Neodiprion lecontei: one gene and its partner. The protein of the gene in region 2 binds, or shares a complex with, the protein of the main gene of each other region. Links are inferred from orthologs where the notes say so. Each region holds a gene or a part of one and is shown on either strand. Other genes may lie near its edges.

Region 1 (7,222 bases), on a different chromosome or scaffold from region 2:
CCGTTAGGTTTACAGAAACCCCAGTCAATGTTGTCAGGATCTTTGAAATCTACTTGTAAATTGTGCCACCCATTTGAGTGTATCATAATAGTGCTGTTCTTGCATGCGGCATCATAACATGCGGGTAGAATCAGGTCCATTTTGCCAGTGAGCTCGACGTCCAAGAATAAAGATTGACCAACGACGGCGAAATTATGCGGCAAGCTGATGTTTTGATGAAGAGTGAAGTTCTCCTCGCTTCCCAGCCAAATTTCAAATCCATTCTCCGTTGTTATAAATAAATCAGGCATAAAATCGCCATTGTAATCTAGAAACGCGTTGGAATGTGGTTTTCTTATGAGCGCAAAGTTATCCCCATTTTTAGATTGCATTTTTACAACTGCTGGTGAAGTTCTATTCTTATTGAATATCCAAAATGTTCTTGTTTGATTTGCATCAAGTCCAAACAAATCAATAATCATGTCTTGGTTGTAATCGATGGCTAACGGCTGTCCAAACATCACAATTACTGGATTCGACTCAGGTGTACAATTCAACTGCCCGTTTCCGCCCCACAAAATGTGTCCGTAGGTTAGACCGTCCTTTATCGTTGTTACGAAAACATCCATAAATGCGTCACCATCAAAATCCCCAGGCACAATGCTGGTCACTGAATTATTAAAGGTACACTTTAAGCCTACCCCAGGCCTCAGGAGAGGCTCTTGCTCGGCTGCCAGCATAATTTCAACGGATTTACCATCCGTGTCGATCACAAATACATCCGTCAATTCGTCAGAGTTGAAATCGCCAAACGCTGCAGGCATCTTGTCCAAAATTTTTCCATATACCGTTGATGTTATGTCGCTGCATCGTGCGACAATTAAAAAATTCGAGATGAGGTAAACAAATAAAATTGCCTTGCCCATTTCGATAGCTTTACATAGTCTGCAATGAAAAAAAGATACGCAGTAATGAGTCATCTGCTTATTTAATTTCTTTTCAGTTTGTGGTTTCTATGCCCATCTAAGCTATTTACATTTTATTGTAATTCTGTCAATTGTATGTCACAAGTTTTACTTGCAATGCGAAGCATATGTAAGTATCAAGGAGGCAGGTAATGATTTATGTTTACTCAATAAACATAAAACACATTTTTATCAGAGGTTAGAACTTCTCGATATTTTACTTATTCTCACCTAGTGGAGATGTCAAGATGTTGTATTTCTTTATTTCTGAAGATCAAAGACGATTGATTGAATTTTGTTGCAAACAGGAATCTGTCCCTTGTATTTCCTTATTCAAGCATACAATATTCTATTAACGGGTACTGCATAGTTCTTAAATGGACTTTTGTCATACTCAATTGTCAAAATAACACACCCAGGTACATGTAATCGAAACAGCCGTCCGGAAAATGATCTATGCATGTATGTACGTCTTTTTCTATCTCGTTGGTTTTGAAGGACATGTATAGTTTAAAACAGCTTCAGCTTTGCCACTACAGCACAATTTAACTAAATGTAGTGCTTTTTTTATAACGAAAATAGGGGATTGCCTGCAGTGTTCTGAATTCTATCAGTTATCTTGTATCTCTTTTACACTATCAAGTCGACCATTGGCTCTCTCTCTCGCTGTCTTACAAAGTTCTTGCGCATCAGTCTGCGCAACTTCAGCACTGGGCTGTATTCTGTGTGGTTGCATTAGCGTATTGTATTTCCCGGTGGTAAATGAAAACTGAGAAGTGCACGAAACTGAACGAGAATTGCGGTACGTTTTGTATCAAAACATGAATGACCAAGAAACTCAGTGAATTGTTAATGAGACACACATGTAAGAAGAACTAGTAGCAACATGGCATCTGCACAGGACAGTAAGTTATCGCCTAGACTCTGTATATTCACTAATTTTGCCGTTTCGTTTACTCACAGTTTTTAGGTTAGAGTACACAAACGACTTATTATTCAACTGTGTACGGTGATTTCACGGTTTTATTTGTCACAAAACACTGATTAATCCTAGTATTTATTTCTTCGAAATCATTTAGACTAAATTTACAGATGGAGATTTCCACGCGAAACCGATTTTATTTGTGTATTGCAAACATAACCACAATATCATTCGAATTGGATGACAAAGGCGATTGATACTTTACCAAGCTTTTATTTTTAACTGTATTCCAAATTGGACTGATGTTTCGAGAATCTTTATATTTTCCAGGTTCAAGCCGTAGTTATAGACAACCATTTCTCCTTTCAGTTTTTTTACTCACACATATTTTGGAAACAAAATTTTTAAATCTCTAATTTTCACACACCAACAAGTTTTTCTTGTATTTCTAAAGCATTGCCAATCATCACTGAAGAGAATCAATGTATCTATGTAAGAAATTAAACATGATAATCATTGGAGACATGCTTGAAAGTACAATTTACTTTTGGAGATACTTGCCAAGTCTTAGTTAAATGGATTGCTGTTCTTGCATGGAAGTCTCCAGAGATGATTATTCCTCAACTATTAATAAATTATTGCAATCGTAGGGATGAAAGTAAAACGTGTTCCGTACGATACATGGAGCACAAGAGAGCAGCTATGCTTGGCTGCAAGCGTATTGTATTCTGGGGAGAATGTTCAGAATTGGAAAGCCGTGTCCGAATCATTGGAGCCGTTTGCTGAAAAAGAAGCATTGCGACCACCTGATTGGTTTTCTCAAAAGTCTTGTGCCGTTCAATATTCACACTTGTTGGAAACAGCGGATACTCCGAAAAGGAAAAAAAGGGAGAGCGGAGAAACGCAAGCTGAATCCATAGTGAATCGATTAACACAGGAAAGAATTGCGGAACTGAAACAAATTCTTGCGTTTCAAAGAGACGAATATCAGCAGCTCAAAGCGGAAGTAAACCTTTTAAAATGCGGCCCCTTATCCGACGATAAGCTGCAGAAAATGTGGCAAGTCATTGAACAAGAAGAACGGGAACAGGAGCAAAAAGTCAGAGCATACGCCGCATGGCTAACCAAACGACAACAAAAGCAAGAATCTATGATAACACCGCCACCACTTGTCCACCGAAAAGCGGTAGACAGTGTGATGGAAAACCATGATGCTTCTGTATCGGAGTCATCGAATAATGACGAGGATGAAAAGAAACGAGGGGGCAGATCGCCGCTCCTGACGAGCTTATTAAAGTCCACCAGCCCAACGACTCAAGTACAAACACCACCGACGCCAACAAAAGCTAGCTCCCCTACCATAGCCAGTCTCCTAGTTTCGAGTCCAAAGGTCCCGAGTTCCCAGCTAGATCGTGGTCTGGCACAAAATGTTTCTTCCCAATTGCAGCAATTGGTCTCTACCGCAATAGCAAACGCGCCACCCGAAAGACCTTCAGCTGGTGCGCCAACGCTTTCTATGCTTTTGGAATTGCCGGCAAATCCGCAGCGTGGACCGTTACCAAACTTGCAACCGTCCTCTACGGTAACAACGCAGCTTAGTATGCCTCCCGAAATTCATTCTTCTCTACCAACCAACGCACCGTCAACATCCGAAGGTGTTTTGCAAGTAATCAATCCTCCACCGCCGGTATCGGTATCTCAGAACATCCCGGTAACAGAGAGTATGGTACAGATAATAGACCATATAGACGAAGTTATTGGGAAGGATATAATGGCCGACGTTATTGACAAAGATGAAATAAACGAAATCATTGGAGATATTGAGGAGCTGATCAAAGAGGAGATCACTTCAAGCCCAAGAACGAACGAGACTCCATCCGCGGCCACTGTTGTGGAACCATTGACTGTACAAACGGTTCAAGAAACTGTCTCAAAGCGTCCCGAACCTCGCCCGAAACCTCGTCCAGAACCTCGGAACGTCGATGAGCCAGTATCATTGTCGGATTCACCTGAAAGTGAACTAGCAATAGAAGATATCGATTCAAGCACGTCAAATATCGCGGAAATCATTGGAACCGTAGCTGTAGAATCTACGGAGTCGAAAATAATGGTCACTTGCCAATCGCCGAAGGTTGAAGAGAAAGCCAAATCAGAGGCTGGGGATGCGGATGAGGAAAACATGGGTAACGAATCGTTAGCAGAGGAACTTCGGAATTCCCCTTATGAAGGAGACGATACTACCGAAGAAGTGGAGTTGAGTCCCAAAAGCGAAGGAAAAGAGTCTGAAAGCAACGAAAACACGCCGACGGATACAAAAGGGTCGGAAGACCGGAATATGGAGAAGAGTGCCACACCAGAGGTGACGGAAGACGCGATAAAGGAAGAAACTGACCTCATCGAAGCTGAGAAGGATACAACAAGCGACAGTACAAGTGATGAGAAAGAGCCTGTTCAGGAATCGGAGATTAAACAAGAACCGCAAATAGATCAACTGGAAATGGATCTTGCTGAGATAACCGGGGACCCACAAGACAAATCGGCTGAGGCAGCGCCCGCCAGTGTATCGTCCGAGACTTCAAACGATGGAGCTAGTGCAGAGGAAGCGGAGAAATCTCAGGACATAAGTCTGATTTTAGAAGATGACGAAAGTTCGCAAGGGTCGCAAAACAAGGACAAAACACCTCCTCAAGAACAGGTATCAGATATGGTGGACACTTTTGAGTCGTGTCCTGAGGAATCCACCGTTTCAACCGAGGAGGAACCTGATGTGGTGGTAAAAGTCACCGAGAACGTGCCAATCGTCATGGACGAATCAACAACTGAGTCCAAGGACAATGTTTCGGAAGAAATGGAAAAGGAAGAAGACAAGAAGGAGAGCTTTAAAGACTCTATCGACGTGATAGTTCATCAAGTCAACGACAAGGTGGCAGAGGTAGGCGGCGTATCAGGGACTGATCCAAATCCTCCTGTTATACCGGAAGCTGTGGAGGTTGTGAAAGAAGAAGCTCCAGATGTTCTGGAGCCCACGAAGACCGAAGAGTCAACATTAAAAGAGGAGGCAGAGAAAATGGTTATTGAGAAAACTGTGGAAGCAGAAGAACAAAACAAAATTAAAGTCGAAATTGATGCAGAATCTGTTACGGAGAAGAACGACGAGGTGGCAAGAGACAATGAAATGCCAGAGGATAAACCGGTAATAAAAGAAACCTTGGAACCTGAACCAGATGTCAAAAAAGAGCCGGTCACTGGAATCGCAGACGATGGAGACCTTGACGAGGAGGAATCTTCGTTGAGTAAATTGAGTGGTGGTCGCACCATGAAAACCTACTCCAAGAGGCCGGTTGTTACGATAGACAGTGAACCAGAGAATGAAGGAAGTGGGGAAGGTGCCGATTACCGTGCTTGGAAGAAAGCTGTTATGTTGGTATTTAATAGACTGGTCACACACAAATATGCGTCTGTATTTCTGAGGCCCATCACGGAAGATCAAGCGCCGGGTTATCATTCGGTCATTTTCCGTCCCATGGATTTGTCAACCATTAAAAAGAACATTGACAATGGAACCATCAGGTCTACAATGCACTTCCAGCGAGATGTTATGCTGATGTTCCAAAACGCCATTATGTACAACAAACAGGATACATTTGTCTACAAAATGGCTGTTTCCATGCAAGAAGAATGCTTGCAACACATGCAGGTGTGTTTACGAAAATATTGTATTAACCTGTTTTTGGTATTAGTCAAAGCTTAAGGGGATATAGATATATACGAGCAGACAGCTGCAAAAGCAGGTAAATTTTGCGGATTTATATCTCTACAATTCTCTATTCTCAACATTCGAGTTTTGTTTCTTTATTGAATAAAAAAAATGATCAACAATGAATGAAAAATCGAATCTCAACTTCAAATGGTCGCCGTTTTGTCGGAAAGAAAAAATTTCGAAGGGTGTTGCGATGTTGTCAAGTTTGATGTGGAAGGATGCATAACTATGCGAAGTAATTGAGAGTACGAGTTACCTGTCTTATGCTGTTCCAGAAAAGAGAAAATACTTAGAATCAAAAGAAAGTTTCAAAAGAGGATTTGTTCTTTAAAATCAGTACGTGTTGTACAGCATTCCAATCAACGGCGATAAATTCAATTCCAGATGTAAATATTCAGTTTAAAAAAATATCTTGCAAAGTCTTTTCTCGGTCAAAAATAAGAAAATGACTTATCTTTACAACTGACAAATATTGGATAGACTAATGCTTGGCAGTCAGCCATAACACTCAGCACGGTAGTATATCTGGGCATGTATCTCTGACTTGGATTTGGCACGGGAGTAACCCACGCCATGAATCATTTTTATTTGAAGCCTGGAAACTTGAGATCACTGATTTAGTGCTTTATTTTGCCTTTCGACAGATATTAGTACAAGTCACCGGCGAGGGACCGTTTAGAAGAGAAACAAGAACAGCTGCTAGCAGTAGTAGCGATTTTGGCGATTCGTCTGCAAAACCGCAGCGAAAAAGAAGTCACATAACTCCTAGCCCACATGACTCTGACAGTGCACGCACTAAGAAACGAAGAAAATCGGAGAACGATTAATACGTTCAAACAGTCAAGTGTCGATCTGTTGCTTGATAATGTTTCACGTATATCGTGTTCAAATTCCTTTCACCAACTTGTGGACAAAGTTGCTAGCTTGCGGCCGGTTGAAGGTACAAAAACATTATCGGGAAAATTGCACTGTCCACAGTACTGCAAGGTGTTAAAGTGTAGTACGCCTCATGGACAATATGTCACAACTGTATATACCATAATATAGAAGAATTATCTCCACAACTTGTGTTACATTTTTTATTGATTCATAATATTCTGATATCAGCCGTCGAAAAAGGATTTTTCCTCATTAATATGAACCATGGATATTTCAATTATTTCAATACTTGTGAAAATTATGAAAGCGTACTTACATTGATTCGAATTCTGGCCAACGATTTTCGTGATTTTTTCTATTGCATCGAATGCTTCTAAAACGGAACGAGGTAATTGTGAAGTGAAGAAATTCCATCTCTACATATCGAACACCCTTCATAGTTTCGTGACCACAAATGTCACAATTCATGAAGCAGTGAAAAAAAAAAGAATCAACAGAAGTTACTCTTAAATACTGATTTTGGCAGACCATAAGATGACTCTAGGACATGTCAAAATTTACAAGTTTCTCTTACTAATGACTGAAAACCGAAAATAAAGTTTCTACAGTAGTGAACAATTGTTTAATAAATATATTCTGAGATATGGGTGACCATGCTAGAGGAGATTGTAAAAACGCAATCTGCAGCTCCGAAGAAGAAGAACTTCAACAGGGAGT
Region 2 (5,144 bases):
GTAGATGGCAGCAGTGTTCGACAAAACATATACAATTGAATACATAACCCTAACTTGGATGAAGTAAAGATGCTCAACCTAACCTGTAACCGGTGACGTAAATGTCAGAGAATATTTATCGCGCCATAAAGATCTCAATAATAGTCTGAGAAAATGAACAAAAGAGTATTAACATTTCTCTGCTTAGTACTAAATATATTTTTTTCAATACTTATTGTATTGTTAAATAAAATGGTGTACGTGAGGATTGGATTTCCAAATGTCACCCTGTCCATGATACACTTTGCAATAACATTTCTTGGGCTAATCATTTGTGAAAAATTGGATGTATTTTGTATAAAAGATGTTGCCATTAAAGAAATGGTACCTATCGCCCTAACTTTCTGTGGGTTTGTTGTCCTTACTAATCTGAGTCTGGAACACAACACGATCGGCACTTATCAAGTTACTAAAATGCTTACAACCCCCTGCGTCGTTGTTATGCAGGCAATATGTTATAAAAAGAAATTCGGTTTGCTTGTTAAACTAACATTAATACCCATCATAGCTGGAGTTGTCATCAACTTTTATTACGACATTAGGTTTAATATTCTTGGGACTATTTACGCTACTCTAGGTGTTATTGTTACATCTCTGTATCAAGTTGTAAGTAGGATAACTCTCACTGCTTTATGATGAATTCCGTAACCTGTTTCATACTTGAAGCTCATGGTTTTGCACATTTTTTCCAGTGGGTCAGCAGAAAGCAAAAGGAATTCCAAATGGATCCTATGCAGCTCCTTTATTATCAAGCACCGTTATCTGCAGCAATGCTGTTTGTGATCGTACCATTTCTGGAACCCATTGGTAACACCCTCCAGCATAGCTGGACATTTACAGATATTGTAAGTTGAAAGACACTTTGACTACTTTTCAATACTAAAGTTTAAACATTTGCTAACTAAAGGGATAATTTTTTTATTTCCACAGCTGATGGTGCTGCTATCGAGCGTCGTAGCATTTTTTGTGAACTTAACATCGTACTGGATAATAGGATACACATCACCATTAACGTATCCTTATTCAAACAAGGAATTGTTATTTTAAATGAAATTTTTTAATTCGATGAAAAATTATTATCTACCCAATTTATTTGCCATGCGCACAGCAATTCTCAATATGTTCTTACATAAAGTTTTCCAGTTATAATATGGTTGGACATTCAAAATTTTGCCTTCTTTTACTTGGTGGCGCTATTATATTCCACGAATCACTTGCACTGAATCAGGCTATCGGAATTACTCTGACGTTGATTGGAATTGTATTATATGCTCGAGTCAAGGCAAGTATGTGTTTTCACCGTGCTGGTAAATTTACGGTGTGAAATTTAATCAAATATGGTCTTTTTGTTTACAGATGAAAGACGGCATATCGAATATTTCACGTTTGACATTGGAAGAAGGCAAGCCACTTTATAAGACGTAGCACTTGAACAGAAAAATAATAAAAAGAAAATTGTGATACAATGTGCCGATTTTATTATTTATTTAATATTTCCCTTACTGAAACCTAAGAATATTGAACAAATAGATCTTTTATGATGATGATATAACAGAAGTTTCAAAATATGTCCAATCTGTTCTGAATTCTTTGAATACAATTTTCCCCACCTAGGACCAATCAAATTTTTTTTCCTTCACCCTATTTTCTCAAATATATTTAAACTGGGTGAAAAAAAGTGTGTTCTGTTCGCCAATAGCATTAAAATTAAAAATTATTGCAAAAGCAGGTCGAAGTCATACCTAGGGCTGAACACTGAGTGCAGTATTCAAAGAAATGTAATGAAACTGTCAAATTATATTGATTTATTAGCTTTTATCCCAGGTAAATCGGACCCGACGGTTTAGCTGCAATTTGGGCTTATATACTGAATGTAGGAAGATCATAGTACTCGCGAGATTGATGTAAAAAGCTGCAGACATCTGTTGGTAAAAGGCATAACTTAATGGGATGAATCCGATTGGATGATGTCGTATGTACGTCACATGCCTACCGACGCATGAAAACGGTGAAAACATAATTCACCGCGGCAAACAAACGTAGAACGTAGTAACACCGCACGCCGCGTGAGAGACTTGAAATTGCTTGAAATTTTGCAAAATTTATTTAATTATCAATAATGAAGATTGAGGAGGTGAAAAGTACGGCAAAAACCCAGAGAATTTCTGCACACACGCATATTAAAGGTCTCGGTCTTGACGAGAATGGTATTGCGATTCAGATGGCTGCCGGTCTCGTCGGTCAAGAAATGGCAAGAGAGGTTAAAAAAAATTTTCAATTATTTATTCCACACCTACTTCTACCCGTGGATACCGTTTGAACTTAATGTTGTGTGCCTGTGTTTTCATTTTTATTTAAAATTCAAACCCGTTCCTTCTCGTGTCGTCGTCTTATAGATATATCAAAACAACATCGTACAATCTAACCTAACCTCACATCACTGAAAACTACATACTCCAAAAAGCAAAATACAATATCAGATTTAACAACGGTTTAGAAATATCTCATAAACTCAACAATCTATGTGATACTTGGGTATTTATACTCTTACCGTTCTGAATGATATAATAAACTTCTTGCCCAGTGCCACTGATTTGTTCAACCGCTGTTGAAACAACTATTTCATCAATTATTTCTTTCCTTTGTAAATTGATCATTGTCGCTAACCCACAGCTTGAGTTATAATAACCAATTGTTCATTACAGAGAATTATTTTATTTTTACCTCATTCTTGAATGACATTAATTCTACAGGCTGCTGGTGTTGTCGTCGATATGATAAGATCGAAGAAAATGGCTGGGCGAGCAGTCCTGCTTGCAGGACCACCTGGAACAGGGAAAACAGCAGTTGCCCTTGCAATAGCGCAGGAACTGGGTAACAAAGTGCCATTTTGTCCGATGGTTGGTTCCGAAGTATATAGTTCAGAGATAAAAAAAACAGAGGTACTTATGGAAAATTTTAGACGAGCTATTGGGTTGCGAATAAAAGAAACCAAAGAAGTCTACGAAGGTGAAGTAACGGAGCTGACGCCTGTGGAAACTGAGAACCCAATGGGCGGTTATGGAAAGACAGTTTCCCATGTGGTTATTGGGTTAAAAACTGCTAAAGGAACAAAACAGTTGAAACTTGATCCATCTATATACGAATCTCTCCAAAAAGAAAAGGTTGAGACCGGCGATGTAATTTATATCGAGGCAAATAGCGGGGCTGTGAAACGACAAGGACGTAGTGACAATTTCGCAACGGAATTTGACTTGGAAGCAGAGGAATACGTGCCTTTGCCCAAAGGTGATGTCCACAAAAAGAAAGAAGTTATCCAGGATGTCACGCTGCATGATTTAGATGTCGCTAACTCTAAACCACAAGGAGGACAGGACATCATGTCAATGATGGGACAACTCATGAAGCCCAAGAAAACTGAAATCACCGGTAAAATTTGATTACTTAAGTGCAGATTTCTTTTAGAAATATATTTTTTTCTCGTAATCATTATCAGTATTGTATTGATCAAACTTCAAGTATTGATTACTGTAGTTATATGCCTTAGCAACAGACAGTTCTGAATCTCATCGAATTGTCACCGAATATTTTGAACTTCTCAAAAGAAAAGTTGCAGATGATAAAAATTGAGTGACACTTTACAAACCGGATGAGTCTCTATTTTTAAATGTGTTACATGTATATTTTCAGATAAACTGCGGAAGGAAATAAACAAAGTTGTGAACAAGTACATCGATCAGGGTATCGCAGAACTGGTACCTGGAGTTCTGTTCATAGACGAAGTACATATGCTGGATATTGAGACATTTACATATCTCCATCGTGCTTTAGAAAGTGCAATTGCTCCAATAGTTATATTTGCAACAAACCGTGGTCGTTGCATCATCAGAGGCACAGAAGACATTGCTTCGCCACATGGAATACCACTCGATTTACTCGATAGATTACTAATCATAAGAACTTTGCCATACTCGAGAAAGGAAATTGAACAGATTGTTAAATTGCGGGCTACGACGGAAGGCTTACAAGTTGAAGACGAAGCTTTGCAAACTCTGGGTGACATTGGAACTAGGACAACGCTAAGATATGTCGTTCAGTTGCTTACACCAGCTGCATTAACTGCCAAAGTTAATGGAAGAACTGTGATTAAGAAAGAAGATGTTGAGGAAGTCGGAGCTTTGTTTTTGGATGCTAAATCATCGGCTAAAATCCTGACACAGCATAAAGATAAATACATGAAATAAACGTGTTGCGTTGTTAATCCTGAGACTCGAATATTATTGAACAAATTTTTAGATTCGACGTGGTTATTTTGTTTCTGAATACAATTGTAGCAGTTTTACAATTAGTTTCACATGACTTTTCTGAATGAAAAGACTATCACGAAAGAATACACATTCGCCAGAGAAAATACAACTTATATAAATGTGTTCCAATTACCAATATGTTGTAAATTTAAGATTCCCATAATTGTGAATTGTCTGCAATTTTCCAGTTTTATGTACTTCATATTTAGATTGTAATATGTTATGTTCCATAGACCATGTCAATAAAATTCTTTCATATCCTGCGAATTTATCAGTGTACTGTTATTAGATATAAAACTAAATTTCATTAGCCAAACAAGATGCTGCAAGCAAAATGGATTATATAAAATAGTACAAGCATTTGGTAATGGAATGAAATATTTTTTTGACTAATAGGAAAGGAAAGATTTCATTTGAAAAAGCGATTTCAAGTTATCGCAGATGTGAATAACATTCCGCAATGCACTAACACAGTGTAATCTCCATTAACTGATAAATTATTGCATTTCAGTCGCATTTTCATTGACATAGTCTAAGAATCTCCGCATTGTGCCAAGGTCAACAAAGTTCAAATCGCAATCGAGAGACGCGCACACATCACGTGGCGTCATCGCCTTCAAGTGGTATAAAATCTCAGCTCACGTTTTGAACTCTTAGTTACGCACGGTTTAATAAGAGAGTACAGAGTTCGTTACCAATAGCAGGGAAAACAAGTTTCTAAATATCACTATCAAGTATTAATTTGAAATAATTTAACACGATGCAGTCAATAATTAAAGTTTCTACCTGTTCCCGACT

What was found. The genes of interacting proteins can lie anywhere in the genome.
Region 1: ruvB-like helicase 1 (region 2) and bromodomain-containing protein 8 share a complex: the UniProt entries of both Homo sapiens proteins name them as parts of the nuA4-related complex. The link is inferred for Neodiprion lecontei from reciprocal best matches to the Homo sapiens genes RUVBL1 and BRD8.

Annotation. Positions count from the first base shown.
Region 1 is NC_060266.1:5,248,908-5,256,129, reverse strand, and holds bromodomain-containing protein 8, read left to right. Parts: upstream 1-1,645; 5' UTR 1,646-1,830; coding exon 1,831-1,849; intron 1,850-2,516; coding exon 2,517-5,563; intron 5,564-6,270; coding exon 6,271-6,453; 3' UTR 6,454-6,690; downstream 6,691-7,222. Other genes in the region: T-cell immunomodulatory protein, read right to left, coding at 1-924, 1,360-1,406; uncharacterized protein LOC124295608, read left to right, coding at 7,149-7,222. UniProt on the Homo sapiens protein: May act as a coactivator during transcriptional activation by hormone-activated nuclear receptors (NR). Isoform 2 stimulates transcriptional activation by AR/DHTR, ESR1/NR3A1, RXRA/NR2B1 and THRB/ERBA2.
Region 2 is NC_060263.1:38,142,489-38,147,632, reverse strand, and holds ruvB-like helicase 1, read left to right. Parts: upstream 1-2,044; 5' UTR 2,045-2,158; coding exon 2,159-2,299; intron 2,300-2,792; coding exon 2,793-3,468; intron 3,469-3,729; coding exon 3,730-4,283; 3' UTR 4,284-4,613; downstream 4,614-5,144. Other genes in the region: solute carrier family 35 member E3, read left to right, coding at 154-645, 732-884, 970-1,052, 1,183-1,321, 1,396-1,464; glycine dehydrogenase (decarboxylating), mitochondrial, read left to right, coding at 5,107-5,144. UniProt on the Homo sapiens protein: Possesses single-stranded DNA-stimulated ATPase and ATP-dependent DNA helicase (3' to 5') activity; hexamerization is thought to be critical for ATP hydrolysis and adjacent subunits in the ring-like structure contribute to the ATPase activity.